Linked DNA regions of Elephas maximus indicus. The protein of the gene in region 3 interacts with the protein of the main gene of each other region in a pairwise test. Links are inferred from orthologs where the notes say so. Each region holds a gene or a part of one and is shown on either strand. Other genes may lie near its edges. The genes, in order: BTG1, SPEG, PRMT1 and HNRNPR.

Region 1 (7,697 bases), on a different chromosome or scaffold from region 3:
AATGTAATCCTCTGAGTATCTTTTTGGTAGATGTTACCTTTGTCTCTTGTTCTCATTTCATGAATTAGCCTGTGCATTTGTGTCCATGTTTTGACTTTATACTTCAAAAAATGTTACCTTTGTGTTCCTCTAACACCTAAATATGTATACACAAATCATCTTCATTCCTTATCAAATGATTTTCGGCACGACCAGTATGCAACTGACATTCACACAGCTTACAGAACTTAGGCTTCTGAGAAAAATATTTATACCTGAACCCCTATAATCATGACAAGAGATTGATTAAAATGCCAAGATAAGAAACAATTTATTATAGAGAGAAGAAAAATTTCTCATTCAAAATATAGAAATCTGTACAACTTTGCCACAATCAATATACATGAACTGTACAAATTTACACCAGTTCATAATTTACCAAATAAATGATGACTAACAAAGTTCACAAAATAGATGGTGGTTTGTGGAAAAGACTTTTACCCAATTAAGTACAAGGAAAGTTACAAACCAGACCTCCACTTTCTAAAAATAAGAAGTTTACTCAGTCTTAGAAAACTACAAGCTAGCAAATGTACAGAAAGCTGGCTGGTGCTAACACCACAGTTGAGACAGTGTCTTTAAGGGTCTTTTTTAAAGCCTGTTGCCATTGCAGATTGTGGTCACTTGCTACTTTCAAGGCCAAAAACACAATACAAGGTCTGACCATTTCCCCAGGTCATGCTTACTAGTTTGTCTTATGTACATTTATACATATTTAAGTGCTAGGTAAAAGTCTTGTCATAAAATTTCCAGTACTACTGTGTTTAAAACATTGAGCTTTCCTACTGAGCTGCCAAAAAGGTTAACAATTTTCAAGTGTAATAGTGCAAATTTCCTCTGCAAGATCTACTGCAGAGAAAGGTTCTTTGAAACACAGATTTGCGTTTAAAGGGACTGATGTAAAAATTAGGTATAATAACGTCTGGAAGAAACTAAACCACCCTAGAACTTCACTCCCTAGCAATTAAAGTGATCATTTACTTGGACTCACAGGCTATTAAATCATTGAAAAGTACTGTCCAAACTATGGCACTGTCACTTAAAAAAAATTTTTTTTTACCACTCTATCTTGTGCCAGATCTTCACAGCTGTGACATGGTTTAAATTCCATAATCCATCCCCAAGAGGAGCCCACCCAAAGCAAAAATCAAATTTATCCATCCATTATAAGATGATGCATCCATAGACTATATCTTAACCTGATACAGTCATCATATTGTAGTTTTTGGAAGGGCTTGTTCTGCCCAACAGAAGTTCCTCCTTACAGCTGATTCTGCTGTCTACCATTTGCACGTTGGTGCTGTTTTGAGTGCTACCTCCTGCTGGTGAGGCTTCGTACAGCACACAGATGGAGCCATCCTCTCCGATTCTGTAGGACACTTCGTAGGGGTCAACCCAGAGCGTGAGTTCGCTGGGGAGAAGCCTGAACAGCTCCTGACTGCTCAGTCCAATCCGCTGCGCTGCCTGTCCAATCAGAGGATCCATTTTATGGTTGATGCGAATACAACGGTAACCCGATCCTCTGCACGGCTTCTCTGGGAACCAGTGATGTTTATAATGTTCTACACAAAAAAAAGGAAGAACAGAGAAACAATGCTTAGATCGTTACTATTAGCTCCCGCTGTAATTTCCTTCTTCTGTTGACTCATTTCGAGAGTAAAAACAAAACCTCTCAACTTTTAAAAATGTCCAGAATTGCATTAGCTGCTGTGCGTGTGCGGGGACGAGCAAAGAGCAGGCAGGGTTTTAGAAACAGCACAGTACGGGACAAAACAGTCTACACAAACCAGCCCGCTGAGCCAACAGAACAGGAATCACTCACGCAGCCTCGGCCAGGCGAACGGCACCGGCGGCCAGGCGGGAACCTGTTTACTTTCTCCACCCCACCCCAGGCACACACAATGGAGTTTATGGCTTTGGACGAGAGAACCACCACCGGACTGTTACAAACGAAAGAAAGAAAAACAAGCAATTCTAAACCACGCTCTGGGCAGGGCTGTAATTGTACCGGTGACAAATCCGATGATTAATGGCCAGCGGTAGGAGGTGCGGGGAAAGCGCACGTCCGTCCCGAACTGGCTCCGGGAAAGCGGCGCGGCTTCCCACCCCGGGACCGATCCGCGGCCGACCCGCGACGGTTGCAGGGAGTTGGGGGAGGGGGGGTCGAGCCAACCCCAGCCCCGCGGCTCCTTTGTCCCCAAATCCGCCGACGGTCTTCGAACCGCACCGCAGCTTCTGAGCTTAGTTGCTTTTAGTTTCTTTGTTGTGCCTGTGTCCTTTTCCCTCCTCGCCCCCCGCCCCGGGTGCCAGCCAGGGGGAGAGCGCGCCCTCGGCCCAGCCCCCAAACACTCGCCGGGACCCGCCGTTAGCGGCCGGTCCGGTCCCGCGTCCCACTACGGGACCCGAGCGCGGCTGCAGCTCCTGTGGCCGCGACTCCGGCGCGGGGGTTCGGGGTCCGCGTCCCCCCCGGCGCCGCAGTTCCCCGCAGTCCGCTCACCTGCCATCAGCTCCTGCAGGCTCTGGCTGAAGGTCTGCAGCTGTCGCTCGCTCGTGAGTCCCTTGGTGCGGAGAAACTTGGAGATGAAAGACACGGCGGCGGCGATCTCGCCTATCATCGTGGCGGCCCGGGTGTAGAAGGGATGCATGGGGGCGGCGGAGGGGGGCGGCCCGGGGCGGCCGGGGCTCGGCGGCGCGGCCCCGACGGCGGAGCGGCCACCCCGGGCTCCCTCACAGGGCAGTAACTGAGCGGAAAAGAGGGTGTGAGGGGCGGACGACACTTTTTTCTCTTTTCTTTTTAGTAAAAAAGTTATTTTCGAGACACGAGTCGGCAGGAAAGAGAAAGAGACGAGCGACGGCAGCCTGGTCACATCGCTCGGACCCCCCCAGCCGCCTCCGCCTCCAGCTCCGCAGCCTCTGAACTTCCCAACAGTTGCATTTCCAGCTCCGAGGGGCGAAGAGACGCAGGGGCCGTGCAGCACTTTTTATAGCGCCTCGAAAAGGAAGTGGCGTAGCTGGAGCGTGACGGCCGTAGCCAGCCAATCCGGAGATCGCACCATTGTGACGCACGCAGATTCGGAGACGGAGGGGGCGGGAAAAGGGGCTAGGGGGCGGGCCCAGAGGCCGGGAAGAGAGGGAGGAGCTGATGTAATCCGTTTGTAAACAAATAAACCCCGAGTGGCGGCCGGAGACCGAGGAGCTGGAGGGGAGGGGGTGTGGGGAGGAAACGGAGGGTGCGCGTGTGAAAGCTCCTCCTCCGGCCCTAGCTCCTCCTTCCTGCTTTAGCAACTCCAGGCCCTGCGCCAGGACATCCTTTTGCAACTGTGCGTTGCCCAGCCCCGGTTCCACGGGAGGGTTATTGCCGTGCAGCCTGAAGCTGAGGCTGTGTCTACACGCGCTGGCTGCTTGGGTCGTGCCGCACGTACGCGGCGCCGGCCCCCGCGCGTACTCCGTGTTTATATTCCCGTCCCCGCTCCGGGTCTACGTGGCTTGGTCCACAAGCTGGAGGAGCGTGGGGCGAGGTGTGGGTGCCAGTACTGTAGGTGCCGGCAAGGCGCGCCCCGGGTGGGGAGGAAAGTGGAGGGAACAGACCCTCGCGGCGGCGCATTCTGCCTAAGGGACCGGCAGCAGCTTTAGGGACTCCTGGCGGATGTGCAGCCAACGCCAAGGAGCCCTTTCTGCTCAACCCCGGGGCTGGAGTGGGGTGATGTCTTTGTAGAAGTTTCCTTGCAAAGTAAATAAATAAAAGGCAAGTAGGGCTTTTTGTGGTTGCTGTTTTAAAGTAACTTAAAAAGTTAGAAGAATGGAAACCTTACCTGAATCCAGCTTAATGCTGGTAGGAAAGCCAGTTACTGAAAATAAACACACGGGTCCTGTAAAGCTTATCCTGTGTTGAAAAAAAAAAAACTGTAATGCGTTTTAAAACGTGTAGACCACAGGACCAAAAATTTTCTTTTTTTCTGGTCTAAACAAATACTATCCAAGCCATAGGGCTTTCTTAGTCCTTACACAAAATATATAAAAATTGAAGCTTGTGGAAGTTTTAGGTGTAGACTAAAATGTATTTGCAACGCTACTTGAAGAACTTAAAAAAAAAAAACTGGAACGAAGGTATAGGCCTGCTAAACGGTTTGGTCTAAGAGAGGGTTAAACCGAGCTCCATTAAGGAGCGAGGGGGAAAAAAAAAATGGAGAGGCAGGCAGATGGAGAAAGCAAACAAGAGGCAGAACTCTACCAGATGGAAATAAATATCCTGAGCTCAGTTGGTCATCAATATTGCAAAACACACCACTTTTGAGTTTTTTTTTTTGAAATTCTGAGCAGAGGGGTATAGAAATGAAAAAGCTTGACCTTGTAGAGCCAAGGAAGAAAAAGTTTTGTTGTTTAAATGGAATGTGTAAAACTGGGGTTGAAAGACTAACCTTTAGGTTATTTTTCATCAATACACAGTAATTAGGTAGTTATAAATGGAATACCTTGAATGTTTTTAAATAGTATTGATGAAAGCATTTTACTTTTATGAAAGTATAAATTTTCTATGGATAAATGTATCAAAAATAATGGTAAACGTAAATTTTTTTTCCTTCTAGGACTTTTCAAACAGAACCTTGCTTAAAATAAAGGTCATGATAAATTACCTCACTGGGCAGGAGGGAAGGGATGTGAAACCTCTTACTACCCTAAAAGAATAACAAGAAGAAGAAAAAAAAAACACCCAGTGCCATGGAGTCTATTCCTAAAAAGTGATTCCATGAAATCACCTTCACCCTAAAACAAGCTCTTCTGGTGTCCCCTTTCCCCAATCACCCTAAATCATCTGCTCTCTTCATTTCCCCTAAATTATCCATCATCTGAGCATTAGATTAGAAATCAGGTGATTTTCACTTCCAAACATAGTCACTGACATGGACCCTCAATAATTCTGAGTTTCAGTTGACTCATCTACAAAATGAAAAAAATGAAGTTCACAAAATGCTGGGATTTAAACTCAGGCTCATCTCCTAAGCCTGTGTTCTCTCCACTATCATTACTGCCTTCCCAAGTAGCAACTGCACTGCTTTAAAAAAAATTATGAAATCATTTGAATAGGCGTAAAGGGAAGTGTAAGGTATTTGTGGAGAACTTGGTTTTCCCAAAAAGAGCCCTGGTGGCCTGGTGGTTAAAGGACTCGGCTGTGAGCTGAAAGGTCAGCAGTTTCAGCCTGCCAGGCAGCTCTGCAGGAGAAAGATGTGGCAGGCAGTCTTCTTCCTTAAAGATTTACAGCCTTGGAAACCCTGTGGGGCAGTCTACTTTGTCCTGTAGAGTCACTATGAGTCAGAATTGACTCCAAGGCAATTTTTTTCCCCACTGAGTTTTTTCTTGTGTGTGTGTTTCCCCACTGTAAATCATCCCTGTGAGAGACAAATGGATTTAAGAAAGTTTTCTTTTACCTGGAGGGCCTGAATATGGTGGGGGAGGGAAGCACTCAGGAAAATATTGGTCCTAAACACAGAGTTTATAGTGCGCCATGATGATCGATAATAGTACTCATAGCACGTTATAGGATAGAGTAGTACGAGTTTCCAAGGAGCAGCTGGTGTATTCGAACTGCTAACCCTTTCCAAGGAGCAGCTGGTGTATTCGAACTGCTAACCCTTTGGTTACCAGCTGAGCTCTTAACCACTGTGCCACCAGGGCTTTGATATACGTATGTATGTATATAAGCATTTTCCAAAAGTTTAGTCAGGCTTTTCCTATCCAGGAAACAAGCCAGTATTTCTAGACAGCTTTTGAATTATAAAGGAACTTTATTGTGGTGTTGTTATGCTAAACTACAGGGCTCTCCTGGGCCGGTGTCCTAGGGCAAGTTGCTTAACCTCTCTGCGTTAGGCTTCCTCTTCAGTAACGTAAGGGTAATTGTTAAGTGCCTTCCAGCGAATTCCTACCCATACCAAAAAATAAAACACCAAACCCACTGGCTTCAAGAGGATCCACACTCATAGTGACCCTACAGGACAGAGCCAAACTACCCCGTAGGGCTTCCAAGGCTGTAAGTCTTTATGGAAGCAGAATGGCTAGTAAGTTCCAACTGCCCACCTCTTGGTTAGCAGCCAAGTGCTTTAACCACTGTGCCACCAGGGTTCCTAATTCTGACTCATAGCAGCACCTATTTCACAAGGTTCTTGGGAGGACTAAATGGGATAGAGAAACCCTGGTGGTATAGTGGTTAAGAGCTATGGCTGCTAACCAAAAGGTCGATAGTTTAAATTCACCAGGCACTCCTTGGAAACTATGGGGCAGTTCTACTCTGTCCAAAAGGTCTCTATGAGTCGAAATCGACTCCATGGCTATGGGTTTTGGTTTGGTTTTAAATGTGATAGGATCCCTCGTGGTGTAGTGGTTAAGAGCTCGGCTGTTAACCAAATCCACCAGTCACTCCTTGGAAACCCTATGGGGCAGTTCTACTCTGCCCTTTAGGGTAGACTATGAGTCGGAATTCATGACTCGATGGCACCTAACAACAACAAATGGATAATCCACAGATATTTTTTAGCACTGTGACCAGCGCTAAGTAAGCCTTCAAATAAATGTTACCATATTATTATCTCATCATTTCACAATATTCTATTTGATGACAATATTATTATCAAATTAATTTTTAAAACCTAGAAAATTTCCTCTCACATTAAAAATTTTAGGAATTCTGACCAAACAAATCCAGAAAACAAAGCTGTATTTCAAAAGAAGTTTGCAAATAAAAGCACAAATGTCAGGTTTCTGGAAACAGTTCAGAAAGTACTTTCTATAAAGGTACTACTGGACAACTAACCAGAATTTTCAAAGTGCTGGCAAAGGGGGTGGGGACAAAACACTTTCATATATAGTAGGGGAATGGACTTAGGTATTTTGTGGACTAACAAAATTTAGAGATCAATACAGGGCTGAAAAACTTCTATTTCACAAAAAGATTTTTTTTTTAAATTACAATTATATCTCTTATTATTATCGTTTTGGCAAAAAGATATAATATTTTAATACTCCCCAAATAGGAAAGGCATCAATATCAGAAAAAAAACATGGTCTTTTTAACTGAATACATTTAAAGTTGTTATTTACTGATGAAGATCAAAGACCATAGCCTTCAGAATGGATTACACCTCAACATAAAACAAAAATCATCACAACTGGACCAATAAGCAACATTATGATAAATAGAGGAAAAAATTGAAGTTGTCAAGGATTTTATTTTACTCAGATCCACAATCAATGTGCATGGAAGCAGCAGTCAAGAAATCAAAAGACATTGCATTAGGCAAATTTGCTACAAAAGACCTCTTTAAAGTATTCAAAAGCAAAGATATCACTTTGAGGACAAAAGTGCATCTGACCCAAGTCATGGTAATTTCAGTCGCCTCAAACGTGTGTGAAAGCTGGACAATGAATAAGGAGAATTGATGCATTTGAATTGTGGTGTTGGCAAAGATTATCGAATATACCATGGACTGCCAGATGAACAAACAAATCTGTCTCAGTAGAATAATAGGAATGCTCTTTAGAAGTGAGGATGGGGAGACTTCATCTCACGTAATTCAGACACGTTATCAGGAGGGACCAGCTCGTGGAGAAGGACATCATGCTTTGTAGAGTGTCAGTGAAAAAGGGGAAGACCCTCAATGAGATGG
Region 2 (7,468 bases), on a different chromosome or scaffold from region 3:
TGAGGGGGTGGAACCGGAAGGACTGTGGAGGCAGAAATGCCCCTAAGTTGGGAACTGAGGGCTCAGAGGGCACTTTCCAAGCCCGTCTGTCCACTCTGGCTCCCATCTATCTACTGCCCCTTGGAACAATTCCTTCCTTGTTCCTCCCCTTCTGTTTCCTCTTACCTCAGCCTGTCCAGGGCATACATGCAAATAATACATTAACGACCATTGACTGGACACCTAAATTGTCAACTACCCAAAGGCAAGGGTTTTTATCTCTTTTGTTTGCTACTCCACCCCTGGTGCCTGGAAAAGCACCTGGTTTGTTGCTGTTGTTAGGTGCCTGGTACAAAATAAAGGAAAACAAACAAACACAAACCAAACCCTTTGCTGCCAAGTTAATTTGACTCAGGGTGGGTGACCCCATGCATTTCAGAGCAGAACTGCATTCAATATGGTTTTCAATAGCTGTAATCTTATGGAGGTAGAGTACTAGGACTTCTTCTTCAGCACTGCTGAGTGGCTTTGAACCAACAACCTTTTGGTTAGTAGCTGAGAGCGAACCATTTGCACCACCTGGGACTTTGGCACATAGTAGGTGCTCATTAAATATTTAAAGAATTAAATATTTATTGAATGAATACTCACCAGGCTACTTTTTACTTACTTTTCTCTCAATTTAATATTCATAAGGTAGAGCTGATGGCTCCCACTTCATTCATTGCCTCAACAAACTTTTAGTGAGTTCCTACCATGTGCCAGCCACAGCACATCAGTATGACTCCGAGGAAACTCTCCATGGCCCAGAGAGGTGGGGCACCCTGCTCAGGTCACGCAGCAGGTCTATGGCAGAAGAGGACCCAAACCCAGGCTGCTTGGCCTCTGGAGCCCAGATCTCTTTCCATGACACCACAGGCTTGTGATCGAAAGGCAAGCAGGCTGGCAGCACACACACCCAAACCAGTGCCAGGCCGCAGGGCACTGTGGGGCCCAGGCTGAGGGACTGACAGCGCCTTGTAGCCAGCTGCCTTGAGCGACAGTCCAGGGCCTGCTGGCTTCTGGGTGTTGCAGCTGGTGCGGGCTCCTCCAGAAGAGGGTGCCAGCGGCTTGCACGGGCCTGTGCCCTCCCCGAGAGGCCTGCAGCCCGCTGTGTGCACATCAGTGAATGCCCCAGTATGGATTTTCGGAGCATGAGATGTTCCAGGCTCTGTGCCAGGCCCTTTTAAATTGTTAATATTCATTTTAATATTTAATATAATAATTTAATGCCACCACAACAACGTAAGTCAGATCATGTAATTCTTCTGCTCAGAACCTTCTGAAATGACTTCCCGTTTTACTCAGAATAAACGCACCATGGACTACAAAATGTTAGGTGACCTGGCTCCTGCTACCTGGCTGACCTCATCTTCGCCATTCTCCTCCTGACTCCCACCAGATCTCCATGGCTTTCTGGCTCTTCTCGGAGCCCACCAGGCATAATCCCACCTCTGCCTGAAGTGGTTCTCCCCTAGAAGTCTGTGTGGTTTGCTTCCTGCTTCCTCACCTCTTCAAGGCTGGCTCAAATGCTCCCAGGAAGGTCAGCTCCAACCAACTTATTTAAAAGTGCAGTCCCTCACCACACTTCCACCCCCTTTACCCTGCTTGATTCTTCTCCATAGTGCTTATCACCTTCTAGCGATCTTTATGGCTTCCTTATTTATTTATATTTATTTGTCTCCCTTCTAGAATGTGAGCAGCAAGGAGACAGGAATCCTTGTCTGTTTTGTTCACTGCTGTATCCCTAGTGCCTAGAATAGTGCCAGGCACATAGAAGGAACTCAAAATTATTGAATGAATGAATAGGCCCTAAGTAGGTTACCCCCATTTGATAGATGAGCAAACTGAGGCTTAGAGATGTTAAATGAATTGCCCAGGATCACAGTTCATTTATTCAACCAATTAATCGGCCAGCATTTACAGTACTTGCTGCTTTCCAGGTCAGTTGTTAGTGCTTGGTGGCTTTGGGTCATTAGTTTATTAAAAAGTAGTGCTTCTTTGCCATTGATGCTGCAGCTGTTTGCAATGCTTTTCCTATATTTTTACCTGTTAAAATTTATCACAGTGGTTGCCAGGGGTTGGCGGAGGGGAGTGTGATTGGCTACAACGGGGATGAATAGGCAAATGTTTAGGGTGATGGAACTGCTCCGTATCGTCTTGGGGTAGTGAAGACGTGATTCTATGCAGTTATCCAAACCCAGAGAACTGTATATCACAAAGAGTGAGCTTTAATATATGCAAACTACAAAACGATTCAAACCAACCCTTAAAGCTCTGATCCCTATGGACTTAATTCAGTGTTTAAATAGTTTCTTCTGTGCCTTCTCCATATACACATACGCTTTGGCTTCTCTGAGACTGAGGGTTGTGGACCAGGAGACAAGATTAAGAGTACCCTTCTCTATGTCCAAACGACTCATGGCTCCTCCTTTGGCTCCTCTCAGCACTTCTCATCTCCTGGCCCTGGGCATCATCCCTCAGGGCTCAAGGTCAGGTCTGGGTCTTTCACTTGAACTTTCCAATTTTCTAATTTTGAGATAATCGTAGATTAACATGCAATTGTAACAAATAATACAGAAAGAGCCTGTTTACCCTTCACCCAGCTTCCACCAATGGTAGTAACTTGCATAACTATAGTCTAGTACAATACCACGACCAGGAAATGGACATTGACACAGGCTCCACCATGTTCAGATTTCACCAGGTTTCCATGCACTCATTAGTATGTGTGCATGTGCACTTAGTTCTGTGTAATTCTATCACATTCTATCATGTGTAGATTCATGTGACCACCACCACAGTCATGTTACAAAACCATTCCACCACGAAGATCTCACCTGGACTTTTAAAATTGGTACTGTTCTATCTTGATGTTTCTCAAAGTGCAACCCTCAGGTGCATCAGAGTCACCTGGGCTGCTTGTTAAATGTGGAGATTCCTGAACCCTCCCTGTTTTCCCTCCTCTCCCCTAATGAACCAGCATCTGTGCGGTGGGGCCTGGGAATCTGTACTTTTAACAGGTACCATGCTTTGAGAACATTCTCTTTGGCCTCCAGCCTCCAGTCTATCCATCACACTGTGGCCACCAGAGAGATCTTTCTAAAACACAGCTACAACCATGTTATTCCTCTTCTTAACACACTGTGGTGGTGCCCACTGCCTTTAGGGTAGAGACAAAACAAGAAAAGCCCCCTGGGTCAGGCCCTACCTCCCTTTCCTCTATTTACCCTACCACAAACCAAACCAGTTCCTGTAGAGTTGATTCTGACTCATGGCGACCTCATGTGTGTCTGAGTAGAACTATACTCCATAAGATTTTCAACGGCTGATTTTTTGGGAAGTAGATTGCCAGGCTTTTCTTCCTAGGCATGTCTTGGTGGACTAGAACCTCCAACCTTTCGGTTAGCAGCCAAATGCATTCACCGTTTGCACTACCCAGGGACTCCTCACCCCACCACATATGCACACACACACACAAACCTCAAACTAGTTGCCACCAAGTTGATTTCTGACTCATGGTGATCCCATGTGTTTCAGAGTAGAACTGTGCATAAGGTTTTCAATGGCTGTGAATTTTCAGAAGTAGAAGCCGATCACCAGGCCTTTCTTCCAAGGCACCTCTGGGTGGATTCTACCGCTAACCTTTCATTTAGGAGCCAAGCGCTTTACCATTTGCACCTGTAATTCAGTTACTCCAAACTCCTGATTCTCTGGATGCGTCATGCTCTGATTTTCTTTATGCTGTTTCCTCTACTGGAATGTCCTTCCATTCTCCTCAGCCTGTTGAAACCCTATTCAGCCACCCATTTTTACAGATGAGGACATGAAGTTTGAGAAAGGTTAAGGTGTCGCCCAGCTGGAGCCGGAATCCACCTGAGTCCCCACTCCTGGTCTTAGTGTTCACCAAGCTGTCAGTCCTGGAGGCGCAGGGGGAGGCCCTCTTCCCAAACTGTTTGCTCACCTCCACGTGGGCTTGCCTCCCCACTTGTTTCTCCAGCTCCTCGCCCACCCTGGTCACTTACCTCCTCCTCTCTCCAGCGTATGAGGCTGGGACTTAGGGCCCTAAGAAGAAGGAGGAAGGAAAATAGGATTGAGCTCAGGGGGTAACCCGACTGCCTGAGTGGGCTGCCTGGGGGGCAGGCGCACCAAGGCGGGGAGGGGGCTTGGAAAAAGACCCCCAGGGACCCGTTTAAGCCAAGGCGGGCGATGGGGGCTCCTGGAGGGAGGGAAGGAGCAGAGCGGAGTCCAAGTCCCCTCCTCTGCTGCCCCCTCCCTCCACAGCTCCTCGAAACCCGAGCCGGGGGGCCTAAAAATAGCCCCCGAGGCTCAACCACCGGCCGCCCTGGTGACCTTCTGGGTAGCACAGGCCGAAGGCGGGCGGGCGGCAGGATTGCAGGGCGCCGGCCCCCCTGGACTCATCTCTCAGGGCACCATCCCCCGGGTGTCCCCGTGGCTGCCAGGTTCCAGCGTAACCCCCAGTCCAGCTTGCAGAAGCTATGCAGAAAGCCCGGGGCACGCGAGGCGAGGACGCGGGCACGAGGGCACCCCCCAGCCCTGGGGTGCCCCCGAAGAGGGCCAAGGTGGGGGCCGGCGGAGGGGCCCCTGCGACTGCACCCGGGGCGCCAGTCTTCCTCCTGCCCTTGAAAACCGCAGCGGTGCTCGCGGGCAGCGACGTACGGCTGCGGGTGGCGGTGAGCGGGACGCCCAAGCCTAGCCTTAGCTGGTTCCGGGACGGGCAACTACTCCTGACCCCGCCGGCCCCGGAGCCCAGCTGCCTGTGGCTGCGGAGCTGCGGGCCAAGGGACGCCGGCGTGTACAGCTGCAGGGCCCAGAACGCGCGGGGCGAGGCCTCCTGTGAGGCTGTTGTCACAGTGCTGGAAGTTGGAGGTAATGGAGAGGTGGGGGCACAGCCTGGGGGTGGGGTGCACCCAGGTAAGGAGGGGGCCCTGGCCACTTTGGGGAGGCACCGTTTGTCCTGCCTTCTTCCAGGTACCCTGGCTTCTGGCTGTTCTGATCCACAAGTGCAGACCAAGAGGGCAGTGCAGAGAAGGGAGACTCAGGTAGATAGGCTCCCCATGACAGGTTAGAGTCATGTAAAGCCCCAGCCGCACTCAGCCCCAGCCCTACTCAGGTCTCTCTGGGAAGTCCATGGCAGAAGCCCTCAAGTTCCCTGCAGAGAGAAGCCTCCTAGGGGACAGTTGTCTTCTTCAGCTTAAATACTTTAAAGTTAAGATCACTAATCAGGCTGGGATGTTGGGGGCTGGATTCACTGGCAGTCCATTACAGTGTCAGGGTTGGTGTGGTCAGCAGCAGGCTGGCTGGAAGTGGCCAGTGGGGGCACAGGTGGGAACAGGGTCCAGGGCATCGGGAGGAGCTGGGCTTAGGGTCTCTGTGGGCATGTATGGAGCAGGGTGTTTGAGGAGCCACATGCCCGCATATGGGGAGTGGAGATAGGCTGTGGAGGGGTCCGGGCTGGGTTATGGTGGGACAAGCAGAGGAGGGATGAGGGCTTGTGGGGTTGGTGTGGGAAGCCCATGAACTATGTCTACCTGAGGTTCCAGAGATGTTTGGAGGGTGCAGAAGAGGGATGCTCAGGGCTGGCACTTGGGTCCCTGAGCATGTGGGGTTAGAGTTGCAGGCTTGTTTGTGAAGGGACAGTGATGGTCTGAGGCAGAAGAGGAGGGGCATGAGCCTGGGACCTGTACTTACGGTCCTGCTGGAGCTGGCATAGGTGCCAGGCCAGAGCCATTTCTACTTGGGTCTGTTTTTGGTCTTCTTTTCTTGTTTCCTCAGCCCCTAAGCCAGCCAAAGGGTTCTTCTCTCGGCCAAAGAGAGAGTCTTGGGAAACAGAAATCTGAGGCAGAAGGTGTAGTTGAAGGAGCCCTGGTGGCGCAGTGATTAAGTGCTTGGCCACCAGCAGCCACTCCGCAGGAGGAAGATGTGGCAGTCTGCTCCTGTAAAAATTCACAGCCTTGGAAACCCTTTGGGGCAGTTCTACTTTGTCCTATAGTGTTCCTAGGAGTTGGAGTTGACTTGATGACAGTGAGCTTGGTTTTAGGTTAAGCTGCAGTTGGGGGAGCTGGCAAAGAGCTGAGTGCCATTGAGTCTGTCCTGGGCATTTTCAAGTTATCCAGAAAATCATCCCCAGGTAGCTGCTGAGAAGAGGGACTTCTCACTCCAACTAGGTCGGGCCGTTTAGGGGTAACTCCTTGTGGGCTGGGAAGAGGCACTGGAAAGGAGGACATCAGCAGCTGGAGGTGAAAGGAGGCCCTAGGGTGCACCAGGTAAGGAGATGGAGCAGCGGCCCTGCTCCCTCTGGTAGCATCTCCTCTCTCCCCTTAGCCCGCCCTGCCCACCTCCTAGAATCTCCAGTGACTGGTTCCTTAGATCCCTGTGGCAAGGAATCTTTGTAAAGATGGGACAGAAAGGGTCAGGGAAGGGCAAGGTTGGTTTCTCCTGGTTGGCCCAGCACTTGGCCAGGCACAGACTTCCCCAGTCTGGGAGTGGGGTCAGGGGGTGGAGTACATCCTGGTAGAGCTCTGATCTGGGAAAGGAATGAACTTTTTGGGGATCTTAGCTCTGGGCCTCTCAGGGACATTGAAACATTGGAAGTTTGAATCCACTCAGAGGCACCTCGGAAGAAAGGCCTGGAGATCTACTCCCCAAAAAATCAACCATTGCAAACCCTGTGGAACACAGTTCTATTCTGACACACAGTGGCAACTGGTACTGGTAGCTCTGGACCCCTCAGAGACAAAGGGTTCTGAAAATAGAGCATAAATCTAAGGGTAAGAGAGGCAGGTTGATGAGAATATGAATAGAGAGATTAGGGAAGGGAAGGGCTGAGAAGGGAAGTGGTGGTCATAATGTTTATTAAAAGATGGAAAGCATTACAGAGAACCACTGCTCCAAACACTTCCTTTACACATGAGGAAACTGTGGCCCAGAGGGGAAGGAGGCCTGCCTAAAGACATACAGCCAGTTATGGCTGTCCCAGAACTGAGAACCCGGTCCTGCTAGTTTGGACTCTGGGTGACTTTTACTACTCAAGAAGTTCAGGAGGAAGGTGAAAGAGGGGGAGGAAAAGGGGAGCTGTCCAGTGTGTGGGGAGCAGTTGCTACAAGATGGGCCCAGGCCTGGCCTTCTGAGGATGAGAGCCTCCTGGCCTGCCCTGGTCTCCCAAAGTGGGGAGAGTGGTGGGATGCTAGAGCCCCCCAGCAGGGCAGTTTCTACAGCCCATCTGTAATGTGGGTGGCATGGTCGGCAGAGCTGAACCCTGGCTGGGCACCTAGACAGAGGCTAAGGAGACAGTCTCCAAGCCGAGCTGCCCTGCTAGAACAGCAGGCTTGAAAGACTTGGGGAGCTGTGGGCTAGATTAGGGGCTTTTTGTGATTTGGGCCAACAGTGAGTGGGAAGAAGGTTGAGTTGTGGCAAGCCACATTTGAGA
Region 3 (7,147 bases):
GAGTCAAAGTAGTAATCTTTGGACGTCATGTCCTCGGCGTTGGGCTTCTCGCTGCTCTCTGCCTGGCCACAGGAGACCTGGGAGAGGGCGGATGGGAGCATGGGTCAAATCTGGGGGCTCCCTGCAGCCTCTCAAACCTCCAGGTTCCTACTTCTGCCTGGAGCATGTAGACTCCACCAAAGGCTTACCACGGCAACCCTACAGCCCCCTCTGCCATTTCGCCTCCCCCAGGAACCCCAAACCCCATTTTCCTCTTCCAGGCCCCCCGAGAGCACCATCCAGGAGGGCACCCCGATACCTCAGCCACGCCTACCATCTCTCCAGTCTCTCTGCCCCCGTCTCTAGCTCAGCCCACAGCTGGGGAGGGGAGGGGAAGGCAGGGCTGGGGCAGACACAGGGCCGGGGGGCAAGTGGGGACTGGAAATGGAGTTAAGGAAGTAGCCACGGTGTTGGGGAGGCCAGAGGGGGGCTACAAACCTGGAGGGGACCGTACTAAGTGTTTTTGGGGGCACGGGATAAACTAGTTTGCAGCAAGAGGGATCATGGTTAGATTGCTGGAAAGGCTGGACCGCCAGAAAGGGCCTGTCGGTGGCAAGCTAGATTGAGTTGGAGGTGAGGTGAGAGTGGGGAGGGGTCTCACAAAAGGATATTTACTTCTTCAAGAGGCGGCTGGAGGCTCATCCCATTAGCCAAGGTGGCTACAAAATTCTAGGAGAGAGTAACAGGGAGAAAGGATTAGCTACTGGGAGTGGCTGTGGGAGGGACAGGCCAGGGTCGGGGGTTCAGAACCAGGGCTCTTGGGGAGGGGGTTCCCTGCAATTTTCCTTTTTCTTGGTGGGGAGTGGTGACAGTGTGAAGAGGCAGGGCTGTTTCAAAAAGGGGTCAGAGAAGTGGGGGAGGCGGGTAAGGGGGTTCTCCTGTCCCAGCTGTGGCTGGAGAGATGGTGGCCCGCCCCTACACTGTCCCCTCCAGCCAGGCACTTGACCGCATACCTCCCCCACCCACACCAGAGAACCTGGCCCCCCGCCGGGCACACGGGCACTGCCAGCTGTCGTCCTCCTCCCTCTTAATCCCCCCAGATTAGGTGACACTTCCTGACACACATCCCCATCCTGGGGTGCCAGGAATAGCTGGGGGGCCTGGCAGAGTATGCCCACTGGGCAACCACCACCTCTGCACACCAGTCTCTCAACTGAGAGGGTTCCAGAAAGGAGGTGTGGCACGCAGACACCCCCACCAGAGCTGGTAACCCAGCCCCTAGGCTCCTGTCCCAGGTGCAGGAGCACAAAATAAAACCAATTAGAACCAAGCCCCTCTCTATGACCAGGAAGGCAGTGTCTTGGGGAGCCCGGACAGATTCTGGAGCCTCTTAGGAAGAAGATGGACCAAGATGTGGCTCCAAGAGTCAGACCCCCATCTTTCCCATTCAGACACCCATCCCAGGCCCCGAAGCCCCCCAGGTGTGGGGCCACGAGCTGAGGCAAGCCCCGGGGAAGGTTATTTGCTCCACCTATAGAGCTCTGGGTCCAGGAGCGAGCCAAGGGAGGTGGGGGCATTGGAGTGGCCTCTGGGAGCTGTCCTCCAGTGGTATGCATCTTGGGAACTGACCCTCCACACTCCAGAAAAGGCTATAAGATAGGGGGCTGGGGTACAGACGTTCCACCAGATAACACGTCTTCCAGATGTGACCACCCTCCCTCCAGGTTCCAGGAAGGGCCAAGTCACAGGCCATGAGCCACTGGCCGGTAAGGATGCCCATAAGGGCAGCTGGTGAGAAGATTTCCGACCCAGGCCCCATTTCCCAATACATCTGACACCACCACCACCAGACAACCCTGGCCTAAGAGGCCGCGGAACACAGGACTACTCTCCCCACACGGGTACACGAAAACCAAGCCTCACTGGAAACCATTTCCCTGCACCCAGACTCAGGACACCCACACAGGGATTCAGAAAGGGGGGTCGTCCGTGGGAAATGCCACAGGAAGAGAAAGGGTTCCAGTAAGCGGTAAAGCTTTGCGCTCATACCCTGTCAGATCGCCTTCCCAGCGTTCATGTGCCCCCTTTTGCCCGATAGGGATCCAAGGAAAAGGTGGGCTTCGGGACACGCCCCGTGAAAAAGCTGTCCCTCCCACACACCCAGAAATGGCCACAAGGGGGTGCACGGCACCTTATCTGGAAGGATGGCCTCCATCCCCCCACCCAGAGAGAGGTCAAAGGGGCATGCCCCATCCCCCAGCTCCTAAAGCCCTGGGCAAGGGGAAGAGTTCAGGGGCAGGAAATTGGGGCTGGAAGGAGGCCGATTCTTCTCCTTCCTCCAATCCCAACCCAAGAGGGCTCAAAACCTGGACCTGTGCCCCAAAAGATGCCCCGGAACCTGGGGAGGGGGTTGTACAGGGTCGGAAGGCACTGAACCTCACAGGAGATCCACTACATCGCAGTGGGCCCAGGTGAGTCCCACCCCCCCGGTGTATGTCCCGATTCCCGCGGACAGGGGTTCGGGGCCTTCGACGCAGGGTCGGAGCCTCCTCCCCGCCCCCCGGCGCCCCTCCCCCGGCTGGAGGCGGGGCCTTTGTCCCGCACGTGGAGCCCGCCGGGCATCCGGGCACGGCACACCCCCTCCCCACCACCCGGTCGTGGCCACGTGGGGGCTCGGCCGGAAGCGCCCCCAGCCCGCCTCCACGTGGGTGGGGGGTTGAGACCCCTGGTTCGGCCAGCTACCGCAAGGCCCCGAAAGCTAGGGAACCTCCCACCTCAAACGATATCCCCAGATCCGGGGCATGCGGCGCCGTCTCAGTGCGGCTGGGTACCTTCAGCCCCAATTCGCCGACTCGGAGCCCCTTCCCCCACGAAGGACCTTAAAACGCAGACCCCAAACCGCTTCCCGACCCCGGCGGCGCTCCGAGCTCTCACCTCCATGATGCAGTTCGCGGCCTCGGCTGCCGCCATCTTCACCCGCAGCTACTCCTCCTCTGGCGGCCGAGACCCCCCCTTTCTCCGCTTTCCCCCGGGACCGTCTTATACCGGAGGGTCCACGGCCCGCCCACCGCAACTCCACCAAGAGATTTCATTGGCAATGGGGGCGGCCCGTCTGGAAATACCGGTTAACAATTGGGTAAAGGCGATATCGAGCAAAGCTTAGAGGCCCGCCCAGTCTAGCGTGCAGGACCCCGCCCCCTCAGGTCGAACGGGATGGGGAAGACGGCCCGTCCATCGCAAGAAAACGGAGTGGTGATTGGGCGACGTCAACTAGAAGTTCCCGCCCCTTCCCCCAGCACCGCCTCTAAGCTTCCCGGCGGGCCCCGCGCTAAGCGGACATCTTGAAACAGAGCCATCCATCACCAGAACGGCCCGCCTCTTATCGCTGCCATTGGTTTATCCAGAGGGTGACGTCATGAGGTCTTTAGCTAGCCCTCGCCAACCTCAAGAAGAACACGGCAATTGGCCCCAGAGAGGGGAGGAAAGCCGGACTTTGGGTCCCAGCAATTGGCTCAAAGGAACTGTCACTCATCTTCCTTTCGGGGGTATTCTTCCTGCCGGAGGGGACTCTAGGAGAAAAAAGGGAAACTGTTTCCATTTACCTGGGGGAAAAAACTGAAGCAGAAAGAGGCCTAGAAAGAGAGCAGGTTTGTCTGGGGTCTCGAATCAAGTCAGACGTCAAAGCATTTAACTCCTAGCCGTCTACTTAACGGTTCTAAGTATTTTAAACACAACAACCCATCTGAAGCCTCTTGGCTTTTATCCGAGCCCGTCTCCCTGCCGGGAACAGCCTTTGTCTTACCGACTCCTATACATCCATCAGAGCCCAGCTTAGACACTACCTCCTGTGGAAGCCTTCCTTGGTCTGCAGAAAAACTAGTCGTTGAATGAAGATGAATTCGCCTCTCCTGTCACCTATCCCACTAACTCTCCTCAATCCAAACTTCTCTCCAGTCCCGGGATGAGCTCGCTCTAGTATCTCTGGGTCTATACCTAGGCTGTGGTCCCCGACATTCCTTCCTCCCTGGTGAACTCTTAGGTGTGTAAGGTTTCCAACATCACTTCACACTTACAGACACTCCTAACACCCACCATGACGCCCCCGCACTGAGGACGTCCTCTCACAGCCTCTCTTCTTCCCGGATGCCCAAATCAGGACAGCTCCACCTCCCACCGAGTCACCAGCCAGGGCAGTCAGCCCCTCGTTCCCTAAGTATGTCATTCCCCAGCCCTGCCCCTCCTGCCCTGACTCTCGGCCAGTACTGTCCTCGTCCTCCTGGACCATCGTCCCAGACTCCTCCCCTACCTCTCAGCCAACAGTTTCCATTCAAGTAACCCACATCCTCTTGTCCCCAGAGCTGACCCCGCCCCTCCTCAACTCAAAGACTTCCCTTGGCTCCCAAGCACCCCCAGGACAAGGTCCCAGCCCCCTCAGCGTGGTTAGCTGCCGCGATCATCTGCCTGGCCTCAACCACCCTCCCCATCACTTCTGCCCTAATAAGCCCCTCCTACGTCCCTGAGGGAAACCCTGGTGGTGTAGTGGTTAAGTGCTATGGCTGCTAACCAAAAGGTCGGCAGTTGGAATCCGCCAGGCGCTCCTCGGAAACTCTATGGGGCAGTTCTACTCTGTCCTATAGGGTCGCTATGAGTCGGAATCGACTCGATCACTGGGTTTGGTTTTTTTTTATTTTTACTTCCCTGAGCTCACACCTTTCCCACTTTTGTGCCATTGAACACCCCCTTACTTTGTTCTCCAGGGGAGAAGCTAACACTTCTTTATCCTTCAAGACAAACTCCTTACCACTTTGTTGTTATTTGTTGTTAGGTGCCATCAAGTTGGCTCTGACTCATAGTAACCCTGTGTACCCCAAAGCCAGTGCTGTCGACTCGATTCCGACTCATAGCCTATGTAGAATAGAACAAAACACTGCCCCAATCCTGGGCCATCCTCACAATCATTGTTATGCTTGAGCCTATTGTTGAAGCCACTGTGTTAGTCCATCTTGTTGAGGGTCTTCCTCTTTTTTGCTGACCCTCTACTTTACCAAGCATGATGTCCTTCTCCAGGGACTGGTCCCTACTGGTAACACCTCCGAAGTACGTGAGACGAAGTCTCGCCATCCTCGCTTCCAGGAAGCATTCTGGCTGTACTTTTTCCAAGACAGATTTGCCACTTTGTAGGTTTGGCCAAATATGGATCAAGCTTACCAACAGGCATTAATTAGTAGGCACTAGCCACCCTTCAAGGAGCTCTGTTGGCCCAATGGTTAAGGCACTCAACTGCTAACTGAAAGGTCTGTGGTTCAAACCCTCCAGCCACTCCACGGGAGAAAGACCTGGCAATCTGCTTCCATAAAGATTTACAGCCTTAGAAACCCCATGGGGCAGGTCTGCTCTGTCACATGGGGTTGCTATGAATTGGCACCTAACAACACAACAGCCTGGGTGGAGGGTGGCCACCCGTTGCTATCAGGTGGATTCCGACTTTATGGAAGCAAATTGCCAGGTCTTTCTCCCGCACAGCAGCTGGTGGGTTTGAACCGCTGACCTTTCCAGTTAGCAGCTGAGTGTTTTACCCATAGCACCACCAGGGCTCTTCCATAAAAATTACCATAAAGATTGCCATCTATGACTTCTTTCTGGAGGGGAGATGTGAAGGAAGAGACGGGCAGGCGCTGGCTGAACGAACACGGGGAATACAGGGTGGAGAGGAGGAGTGTGCTGTCTCATTAGGAGAAGAGCAGCTAGGAGTACATAGCAAGGTGTGTATACCTTTTTGTATGAGCGACTGACTTGATTTGTAAACTTTCACTTAAAGCACAATAAAAAAAAAAAAAAAGATTGCCATCTATTCAATTCTGACTCATAGTGACCCTATAGGACAGAGTAGAACTGCTCCCTAGGGTTTCCAAGGAGCAGCTGATGAATTCGAACTGTCTACCTTTTTTAGTTAGCAGCCAAGCTCTTAATCACTGCGCTACTAAGGCTGGCCGTAAAGATTACAGCCAAGAAAACCCTAGGGAGCAGTTCTACTCTGTAACACGTGGGGTCACCATGAGTCAGAACAGCAACGGGTTATGCCACTCTTCTAAAACTTTTATATAAATTCATTCATTTAATCCTCCCAGCAGTACATTGAGGTAGGTACTATCATCACCTCCATTTTACAAGAGAGGAAACTGAGTGAGGTAAAGTGACTTGGTCAAGGTCAAACTCCTAGCAAGTGGCTGACCGTGTTCTGATCACAGGATGTCTGAAAACAGAAATTCATTTTTTAGTTGTTGCTGTTTTTTAAAATCAACTTTATTGAAGGTGTAATTCATATAAAATAATAAGCACCTAATCACATGTAATTTGATAAGTTTGATATATCACATACATAGAGAGAGAGACAGCCTCTGTCAAGGTGACTCTGACTCACGGCAACCTTATGCACAACAGAAGGAAACTTTCCCTGGTTCTCATGATTGCCAGCGTGTTTGAGTCCATTGTCATGGCTATTGTGCTAATTTATCTCAGGATAAGTCTCTCTATCCCTTGCTGGCCCGCTCCTCCACCAAACACGATGTCCTCCTCCAGCAATTATTCCCTCTTGATAATATTCTGTGAAGGGGTCCAAAGTGAGTTGGACAATGTTCGGTTATGATCCACAGGGTTTTCACTGGTTAATTTTGGGAGTGAGACTTTGTCTCACATACTTTGGATGTCTTATCAGGAGGGACCAGTCCCTAGAGAAGGATACCATGCTTGGTAAAGCAGAAGGTCAGTGAAAGAGAGGAAGACTGTCAACCAGGTGGACTGACACAGTAGCTGCAACAATGGGCTGAAGCATAACAATGATCATGAGGATGGTGCAGGACCAGGCAGTGTTTCATTCGTTTGGACATAAGGTCACTATGAGTTGAAACCAACTCGATGGCAACTAACAGGAACAACAACATCATCAATTTTTGGAATAGATCGCCAGGCCTTCTTAGTCTGTCTTAGCCTGGAAGCTCCACTGAAACCTGTCTACCACAGGTGACCCTGCTGGTATCAGAAATAGTGGTGGCATAGCTTCCAGTATCCTAGCAACACACAAGCCACCACAGTATGACAAACTGACAGGTGGTGAGACAAGTACATTACCAACCAGTATGACACCTGGGTTCTCAGTTACTTTACCCAA
Region 4 (7,178 bases), on a different chromosome or scaffold from region 3:
ACACTTGGTTAAACAAAGGCTGGAATTTATCGATGATTATTATTGATGATAGGATCGCTGATTAACAAAAGCAGCTGTTGTGTCCTGGTGAGCATATCAACAAGTCACCACAAAATTCTAAAAGTCCCTCAAGCTCTCAATTCTTAAAACAGTTTTTAGAAGTTTGGTTTACAAACAAAATGAACATCCACAGACCACTTAATCAAGGTTTTTAAGGATTTCGAATTTTCCTAGCTCTGCTTTGAATCCAATAAATGCCCTGTTGTCTCTAGTTCAACATGGTGGTCGTTTGGGTTTTCTCCACCTCACTTAAAAGAAAACACAACTTGTTGTTAATTTTTGTTCTAAAATTAATTTGCTATTCCCGTTCACAGATTTAAAAGAAAAAATGACCAAGATTAAAAGCTAAACAATTGTTTTAAGTCCACATAAAATAAAAAGTGAGCTACAGTTGAGGTTACTTCTTTAAAAAAAAAAAAAGTATACGTTGAATTTTTTCATTTCAGTAAAATAAAGCTGCAAAATATTTTTGAAGAATGGACAGCTAACTTCTTTCAAATAGTTTCAATAAGCATTACCTAATTAGGATAAACTTAGGTCATATTTCTAAGGTTAACCCTACCAAAAATGTTGTATGTTCAGCCATTAAAGTAATGCTAAAATCTACTTCCTGAAGAGAGAGAGAGAGAAAATAAAACCATACAAGGCCAGTCTCCACACTGCCTCAGAAGACAGAATTGAGGTTAAAGGGCATCTCTGTCTGTGGTGAAATTAGAATTTGATGAAGATAACAGGCAGCAGAGTAAAGACACTGCAACACAAAATGGACATGAAAGTGGATCTCAGGAAAAAGCCTACTTTTCTTGATGAAACTCAAGATAGCTAGTCAGCTATAAAGAAATATGCAACACTAAGACACGTAAGATAACCACACTTCCAGTGCAGTTTTCTGACTTAAAACAACTTCTTTCCATTTCAAAGTCCACCGATATTTAGTTGAAGTTAATGAAAGGGGAAGACCAAGAGTGCAAGGAAGTAACAGAGAAGGAAAAAAGGAAAATGCAGAAAAAGTTACTCTAAAAATGAGATAAACAGTATCATGACTTCGTATGATTACAAAACGTAAGATTTGTTAGCCCTCTAATGTCCATATACAGACACAGACTTTGTGGTTAAACTCTGAATGGATAAATGTTCCTCAAGGCAAGCCTCAAATTTTGATAAACTAGTAAAAATGAAAACATTCAAAACTGCACACTTTTTATCAAGAAACTGCTTACTGCTTATTGTGTAAGATGAAAAGGTTTACGGATTAATACGAAGATGCACCCTAAAGTCCAAAATCTCCTTGTGAAAATATCGTTGTTTTCCCACGCTCCCCCACTCCCAAAATACAACCATAAGATCATCAGAACTCAAATGTTCTCAGTATCACAAGACTCTTATAGCACTGCACCTTGGAATACTATTAATCACAGAAAGGAAGCAAATTTTTAACAGAAAAAATTCAATGAAAATCTGTTAAGGTGGTACTGTTTTAAAAGTATGTGTAAAAGCAAAAAAGACAAGTTGTGTATTAAGCACAAGATAGAAATATTCATGACTACTATTTAATTGCAAAGGCTCTACAAGTTGATACTGAAATTGAAATAATTTTCAAAAAGTTTTTGTAAACTTTTAACAAAAAAAAAATACTTTAATTAGATTCCGGAAAAATCAAACCTTTCAGATCAAGGAAAAACCTTTCTTGAGGCCAAATACAAAGTGCTCATTTACAAAAGACTTTCATATCATATGAGACCATTTAAAACTCTTGTGTCAATTGAACACAATGCCACACAGCCAAACCATAGTTCTGGATGCAGCAAATATACTAATATGACCGGAGTCATTGGATCTAAATATTGTTGCAAAAAGTAGAAATTAAAATAAGATTTAAAAGGACTGCTGGGAGATTTGGAAAATCAGCACTAGACCCTCCCTTTTTCTGAACATCTCTGTGCAAAACTCTTCATGTTAAGAGACAAGCTTTAAAAGAACCAGCGAAATGGAAACTAACGGTTATCTCATGGCTTAGGAGGGTCAGTCCCTTGTCTGACTCATGAGAACGTAAATTCAGCCTCTTGAGATAGCAAAAGTCGCAAACAGGTAGTGTGAGAGGGCTGAACCTTTCAAGAACCCCTTGGCTTCAATTTTTAAGTTTTGGCAACACGGTTACTACCGTATTAGAAAAAGAATCGCCTTTCCAATTTAGTGCGCCTATGACATTCTCAGAATTACACATCTTAGGCGCCGCTCGTAGCCTAAGTTTTACGGCCTCTAGTAGTCATTTTTTCCTTCAAATCTCGGTTCCCAGCATGCAGGATGGGGGAGGGGAGACGCTTCCCACACAAATCGGCCCTCCAGTTTCCGCTCACACTAAAGTTTTCTCCGGGCTCAGGTAACCCCGGGATTTGCATCCCGCCCGCTGGCCACCCCACCCCCTCACGGCCGTCCCGAGCATCAACACAGCCCACTCGCGGCCAGGCCGGCCGAGACGTGAGCGAAGCCGCTCCAGTGGGGAGAGACGCTGTGGCCGCGAACGCCGCAGGTCCTTCGCCGGACGCGGCCGCATGGAGCGGCAGACCGAGGCGGGAAAAACGCGGCCGACTCGGCAGGACGTACAGACGGCGCCCGGCGGGCCGGACCGTGGGACGGTGGTCGGAGTAGGATGAGCGAAGTCAGAGAAGAGCCTCAGCGGGGCTAGGCCCACAGCAGCTCGGCCGGACCAGGCCGAAGCCGCCCCCAGCCCGTCCCCACCCCCACCCCGGGGCCTCGGAGCGGAAAGCAAACAGGGGACATGGCGCCGAGCCCCGGCAGGACCGAGTCGGGTCAGATCGGGGCTCCCGGCCCCTCCCCCCACGGGCCGGCGCGAGACTCACCAGGGCAGAGCAGGGGCCGGCGGCCGGGCCCGTGAGAATCAGCGCGAGGCGCTTTGAAAACGACTAGAAATGGCGCGCGCGCCACCCCCTCCCCCCCTCATGGACAGAGACGCGATCCCGGCAGCACGCGGGGTTTCCCGGAACTGCTTCCAGGGACTCCGAGCTGCTAGGCAATCACATCGCGCGGCTGCCTGAGAGGCAACTCAGGCGACCAATAGCAGCGAGGAGAAGAGGACCTCAGCCGGACGACTCGAAAGCCAATCAGTGGAGTCGTCGGCTAAGCCAATGGCGGTACTCAGCGCCGGTGGCTGGGGCGCCTCCGGGGCGGGGGCAGGCACACAAAGGGGTCTATAGTGGAAGCCCCTGGTGGCGGCGAGGCTGCGAAGCACCGGGCCCTGGATGGCGGAGGCTCCTCCTCCTTCGTCTGCCGCCGAGGAGACGCCGAAAATCTAGGCCCCGCGCCGCGTGGCCGCCTCCGGAACCCCGCCCCCTACCGTCCGCGCCGGCCTCGCTCGGCTGTGGCTCTCCCGCCCTTTCGCCGGCGTCGCATCGCTCCCTAATCCTCGCGCTGTTGCCGGCGTTCGCCCCAGACACGCCCATCGCCACGCGTTCGGGCATCTGTCTAGGTCATCTTTTTGGCTCTAGTTAGAACACAATTTAAGGGTGATTAGGCTCGTCATTTTGAAAGAGAATTTTTTATAGAAAATCATCCCCTGTAATGATCAGAAAACTGGCTCTTTGCCTCCTTGGCTCCCTTCTTATCATTGGTGGCAGCTCAGAATTTGAGAGAAATAGCTAAAACACGGGGAGTGTTTCCTTCTGTTGTGCGTAGGGTCGCTATGAGTCAGAATCGACTCATCGGCACCTAACAACAACAACAACAGTTAAAGGCATGACAGTATCAAGCACAAAAGATAGACCAGAAACATTTTTCCCACGGGGTCTGGAGCTAATTAATATCCATAAAGTAGATAAGGCAGATATATGCATCTACGAAGCCGGAGGAGCGGTGCCAATGGAGTCTTATTACCGTTATTCCTAAAACTATTTCTCACCCTCCACCCCTACCGCTTGGTTCTTGCCCTCACCTTCAGTCTAATCTTGTCTTGTTCCACAGAAACCCTCCAAGCTTACTTCTGTGGGATTAGACCTTCCTTCCTTGCCTATCCCAACTTCTAAGGCCCCATTTCTCTTAAGGAGTGGAGGAGATAAAGCAGTGGTCAGCAGAATTGCCTCATAAACTCGAGGATCGTTTAAATTTCCCAGAACCTATCAATCAAAAATTAATGATTGAAAACCTAATATGTGCTCAGTACCGAGCTAAATGCTGCGGTTTTTGTGTTATGGGGCATAAGACGTATACAAATGTTAGGGTCTTAAAGAAAAATAATATAAAATGGCAAGTTTAGGAGGAGTCTTGGAAGTGCATGTTTGTAAAAGTGAGGGTCTATGAAGCTTGAACTTTGCCCTCAAGTCAATTCAGACTCCTAGTGACCCTATAGGACAGAGCAGAACTGCCCCATAGGGTTTCCGAGTTTATAATCTTTATGGAAGCAGACTGCCACATCTTTCTCCTGCAGAGCAGCTGGTGGGTTCAAACCACCAACCTTTCACTTAGCAACCCAGCAACTAATTACTGTGCCACTAAGGCTCTTTTAAACACTATGAGCTTCACATATTTTAGTCTCTGGCTCAAGGGCTAACTTTTGCACCATATCATTGTGTTAAGAGTTTTTAGTTGTCCACAAGTTGATTGCAACTCATGGAGATCCCATGTGTTACAGAGTAGAACCACTTCATAGGGTTTTCTCGGCAGTAAGTGCAGTAAGTTAGAATCACCTGGAAGGTTGATTGCCAAGCCTTTCCTTCCACAGTACTGCTGAATGGGTTCAGACTGACAACTTTTAAGTTAGCAGTCTAGCACAAACCATTTGAGCCACTTGGGGACCTTTGTATTAAAGGTTGTGGTTAGGTGCCATGGAGTCAGTTACAACAGAACAAAACACCACCCGGTCGTTGTCCATCCTCACAGTGGTTGTTGCTATGCTTGAGCCCATTGTTGCAGCCACTGTGTCAATCCATCTCATTGAGGGTATTCCTCTCTTTTGCTGACTCTACTTTACCAAGCATGATGTCCTTCCCCAGGGACTGGTCCCTCCTGATAACAGAATTTGAGGGAAATGTCCAAAGTACGTGAGATGAAGTCTTGCCATCGTTGCTTCTAAGGAGCATTCTGGCTGTACTTCTCCCAATCATTTACGTACGTTTAAGTATGGCTTAGGGAGCCCTGGTGGCACAGTGGTTAAGAGCTCAACTGCTAACCAAAAGGTTGACAGTGCAAATCCACCAGCCACGCCTTGGTAACCCTGTGGTGCAGTTCTACTCTGTCCTGTAGGGTCACTATGAGTCAGCATCAACTCAATGGCAATAGGTTTGTTTTTTCTTATGTAAAGGAGCCCTGGTGGCACAGTGGTTAAGCATTAGGATCTAATTGAAAGGTCAGCTGTTCAAACCCACCAGCCACTCTGAGAGAGAAAGATGTGGCAGTCTGCTTCTGTAAAGATTACAGCCTTGGAAACTCTATGGGGCAGTTGTACTCTGACCTATAGGGTCAATGTGAGTCAGGACAGCAATGCTTTTTTTTGTTTGTAAAGTATGGCCTAGCTATAAAGACAAAAGGTACCTTAATTGCTCGGACTATTTTCATGAACCAGATACAAAAAGCCAGACTTAGTTCTTTGTCCCACTGTGGTGCAATGGACTGTTTTTATATAGCCTTTCTTGCCACGGTTTTGTAACTTCCATCAAATGATTGGGTGGGACTATGCAAATAAGGTGCTTGTGGCCCACCAAGGGGATTGGACAGCTTGCTAATAATGCAAATAATGTGCATGGACCCTTAGGGGGACCATGCAAATAAGGTATATGGAACCCTAACAAGGGGATTGGTCAGTTTTGCCTTCCCGCTAGGGAGACACAAGAAGAGAGAGAGAGAGAGAGAGGAGCTCTAACACAGAAGACAGAGAGGCAGCAGTGGCAGGAGAGCCAGGACAGAGACGGAGGGCTGTAACACTGGAGATGGTGAAAGGCAGCAGAACCAGGAGAACTGCAGGAGACAGCACTGTGGGCTTCCAGGCTTACGGAGTGAGAGCTGAGCACCTTTGGGCAGAGGTTTGCTGGCTGAGTGGGGTGCCTCAGGGCACTTAATGGCAGAACTAAAACAGCTTTGTAACACTTGCCTGAGCAGGGCAGAGGCCAGATCTAGGGGCTGAGGGACAGTGAGAGACCTGCCTGCAACATGGCTGAGAAGAGGCTGTCCTGATGGAAGAACTGTATCCTGAGTGTTCCTGAACCCTAATTGTAACCTGTTACTTCCCAAATAAACCTCGTAACTGTGAGTATGGTCTGTGAGGTCTGTGTGGCCATTGCAAGGAATTATCAAACGCAGCAGAGACGTAGAGTGTTGTGGGAGGAATGTTGGCATCAGAATTTGTAAAGAAGGCGGAGAGAGGAGGAATGTCTGACCTCTGCCTCATGGGAATCAGCCTTGGGCTGTTGATCTTGATTCTCCTTCCCCCTTGTGAAGTTAGAGGAAATCAGACGCTATCCCTACACCATTTTTACACCCACAGATATTTAGGTGCCAAATCCCCTACCCAGCTTTACTTTAAAACTTCAGTTCTACCTCAACATTTCTCTCCTCTTGTCAAATGGAGCTACTTACTTTCTTCATCAAACTTTAGTAATTTTTATTATTTTAAAGTACTTTCCGAAATGGTGGCGCTCCAGTCAAGCCCTGTGCTAACAACTGACTAGAGCTGAAGGTTTTGTCTTTCATTTCTACCTCCTAGGATTATGTTTCTTTTAAAAAATAAAGTGCCAAACTCACATCTAACTACAAATTCCATTCTCTTAACCCCTATGACACACAGTCAGAAGAGTTGAATCAAAAAAAAAAAAACAAAACACCAAACCTGTTGCCATCAATTCTGACTCACAGCAACCCTAAAGGACAGGATAGAACTACCCCATAGGGTTTCCAAGGCTGCAATCTTTACGAGAACAGACTGCCACATCTTTCTCCCACAGATCCGCTGGTGGGTTTGAACTGCCGACCTTTCAGTTGGCAGCCAAGCGTTAACCACTGTGCTACCAGGGTTCCTTCAAATCAAAATCAGTAAGGTTAAATGTCTGTCTTTATAAGCCTTCACATTCCCACACCTGGTGCTGGTAGTCTCTGATTTTGAAACTTTTTGC

Evidence for each region.
Region 1: the proteins of PRMT1 (region 3) and BTG1 interact in a two-hybrid assay, tested with the Homo sapiens proteins (2 studies listed by BioGRID). The link is inferred for Elephas maximus indicus from reciprocal best matches to the Homo sapiens genes PRMT1 and BTG1.
Region 2: the proteins of PRMT1 (region 3) and SPEG interact in binary tests that used the Homo sapiens proteins (3 or more experiments, as listed by UniProt). The two-hybrid records come from large-scale screens. The link is inferred for Elephas maximus indicus from reciprocal best matches to the Homo sapiens genes PRMT1 and SPEG.
Region 4: the proteins of PRMT1 (region 3) and HNRNPR interact in binary tests that used the Homo sapiens proteins (3 or more experiments, as listed by UniProt). The link is inferred for Elephas maximus indicus from reciprocal best matches to the Homo sapiens genes PRMT1 and HNRNPR.

Annotation. Positions count from the first base shown.
Region 1 is NC_064822.1:156,807,344-156,815,040, forward strand, and holds BTG1 (protein BTG1), read right to left. Parts: upstream 3,005-7,697; 5' UTR 2,685-3,004; coding exon 2,537-2,684; intron 1,602-2,536; coding exon 1,234-1,601; 3' UTR 286-1,233; downstream 1-285. UniProt on the Homo sapiens protein: Anti-proliferative protein.
Region 2 is NC_064824.1:118,009,008-118,016,475, forward strand, and holds the start of SPEG (striated muscle preferentially expressed protein kinase), read left to right. Parts: upstream 1-4,461; 5' UTR 4,462-4,517; coding exon 4,518-4,908; intron 4,909-7,468.
Region 3 is NC_064829.1:100,127,086-100,134,232, reverse strand, and holds the start of PRMT1 (protein arginine N-methyltransferase 1), read right to left. Parts: upstream 3,020-7,147; 5' UTR 2,950-3,019; coding exon 2,914-2,949; intron 709-2,913; coding exon 655-708; intron 411-654; exon of another isoform or gene 317-410; coding exon of another isoform or gene 299-316; intron 78-298; coding exon 1-77. UniProt on the Homo sapiens protein: Arginine methyltransferase that methylates (mono and asymmetric dimethylation) the guanidino nitrogens of arginyl residues present in proteins such as ESR1, histone H2, H3 and H4, FMR1, ILF3, HNRNPA1, HNRNPD, NFATC2IP, SUPT5H, TAF15, EWS, HABP4, SERBP1, RBM15, FOXO1, CHTOP, MAP3K5/ASK1, MICU1 and NPRL2.
Region 4 is NC_064821.1:63,785,912-63,793,089, forward strand, and holds the start of HNRNPR (heterogeneous nuclear ribonucleoprotein R), read right to left. Parts: upstream 3,016-7,178; 5' UTR 2,922-3,015; intron 1-2,921. UniProt on the Homo sapiens protein: Component of ribonucleosomes, which are complexes of at least 20 other different heterogeneous nuclear ribonucleoproteins (hnRNP). hnRNP play an important role in processing of precursor mRNA in the nucleus.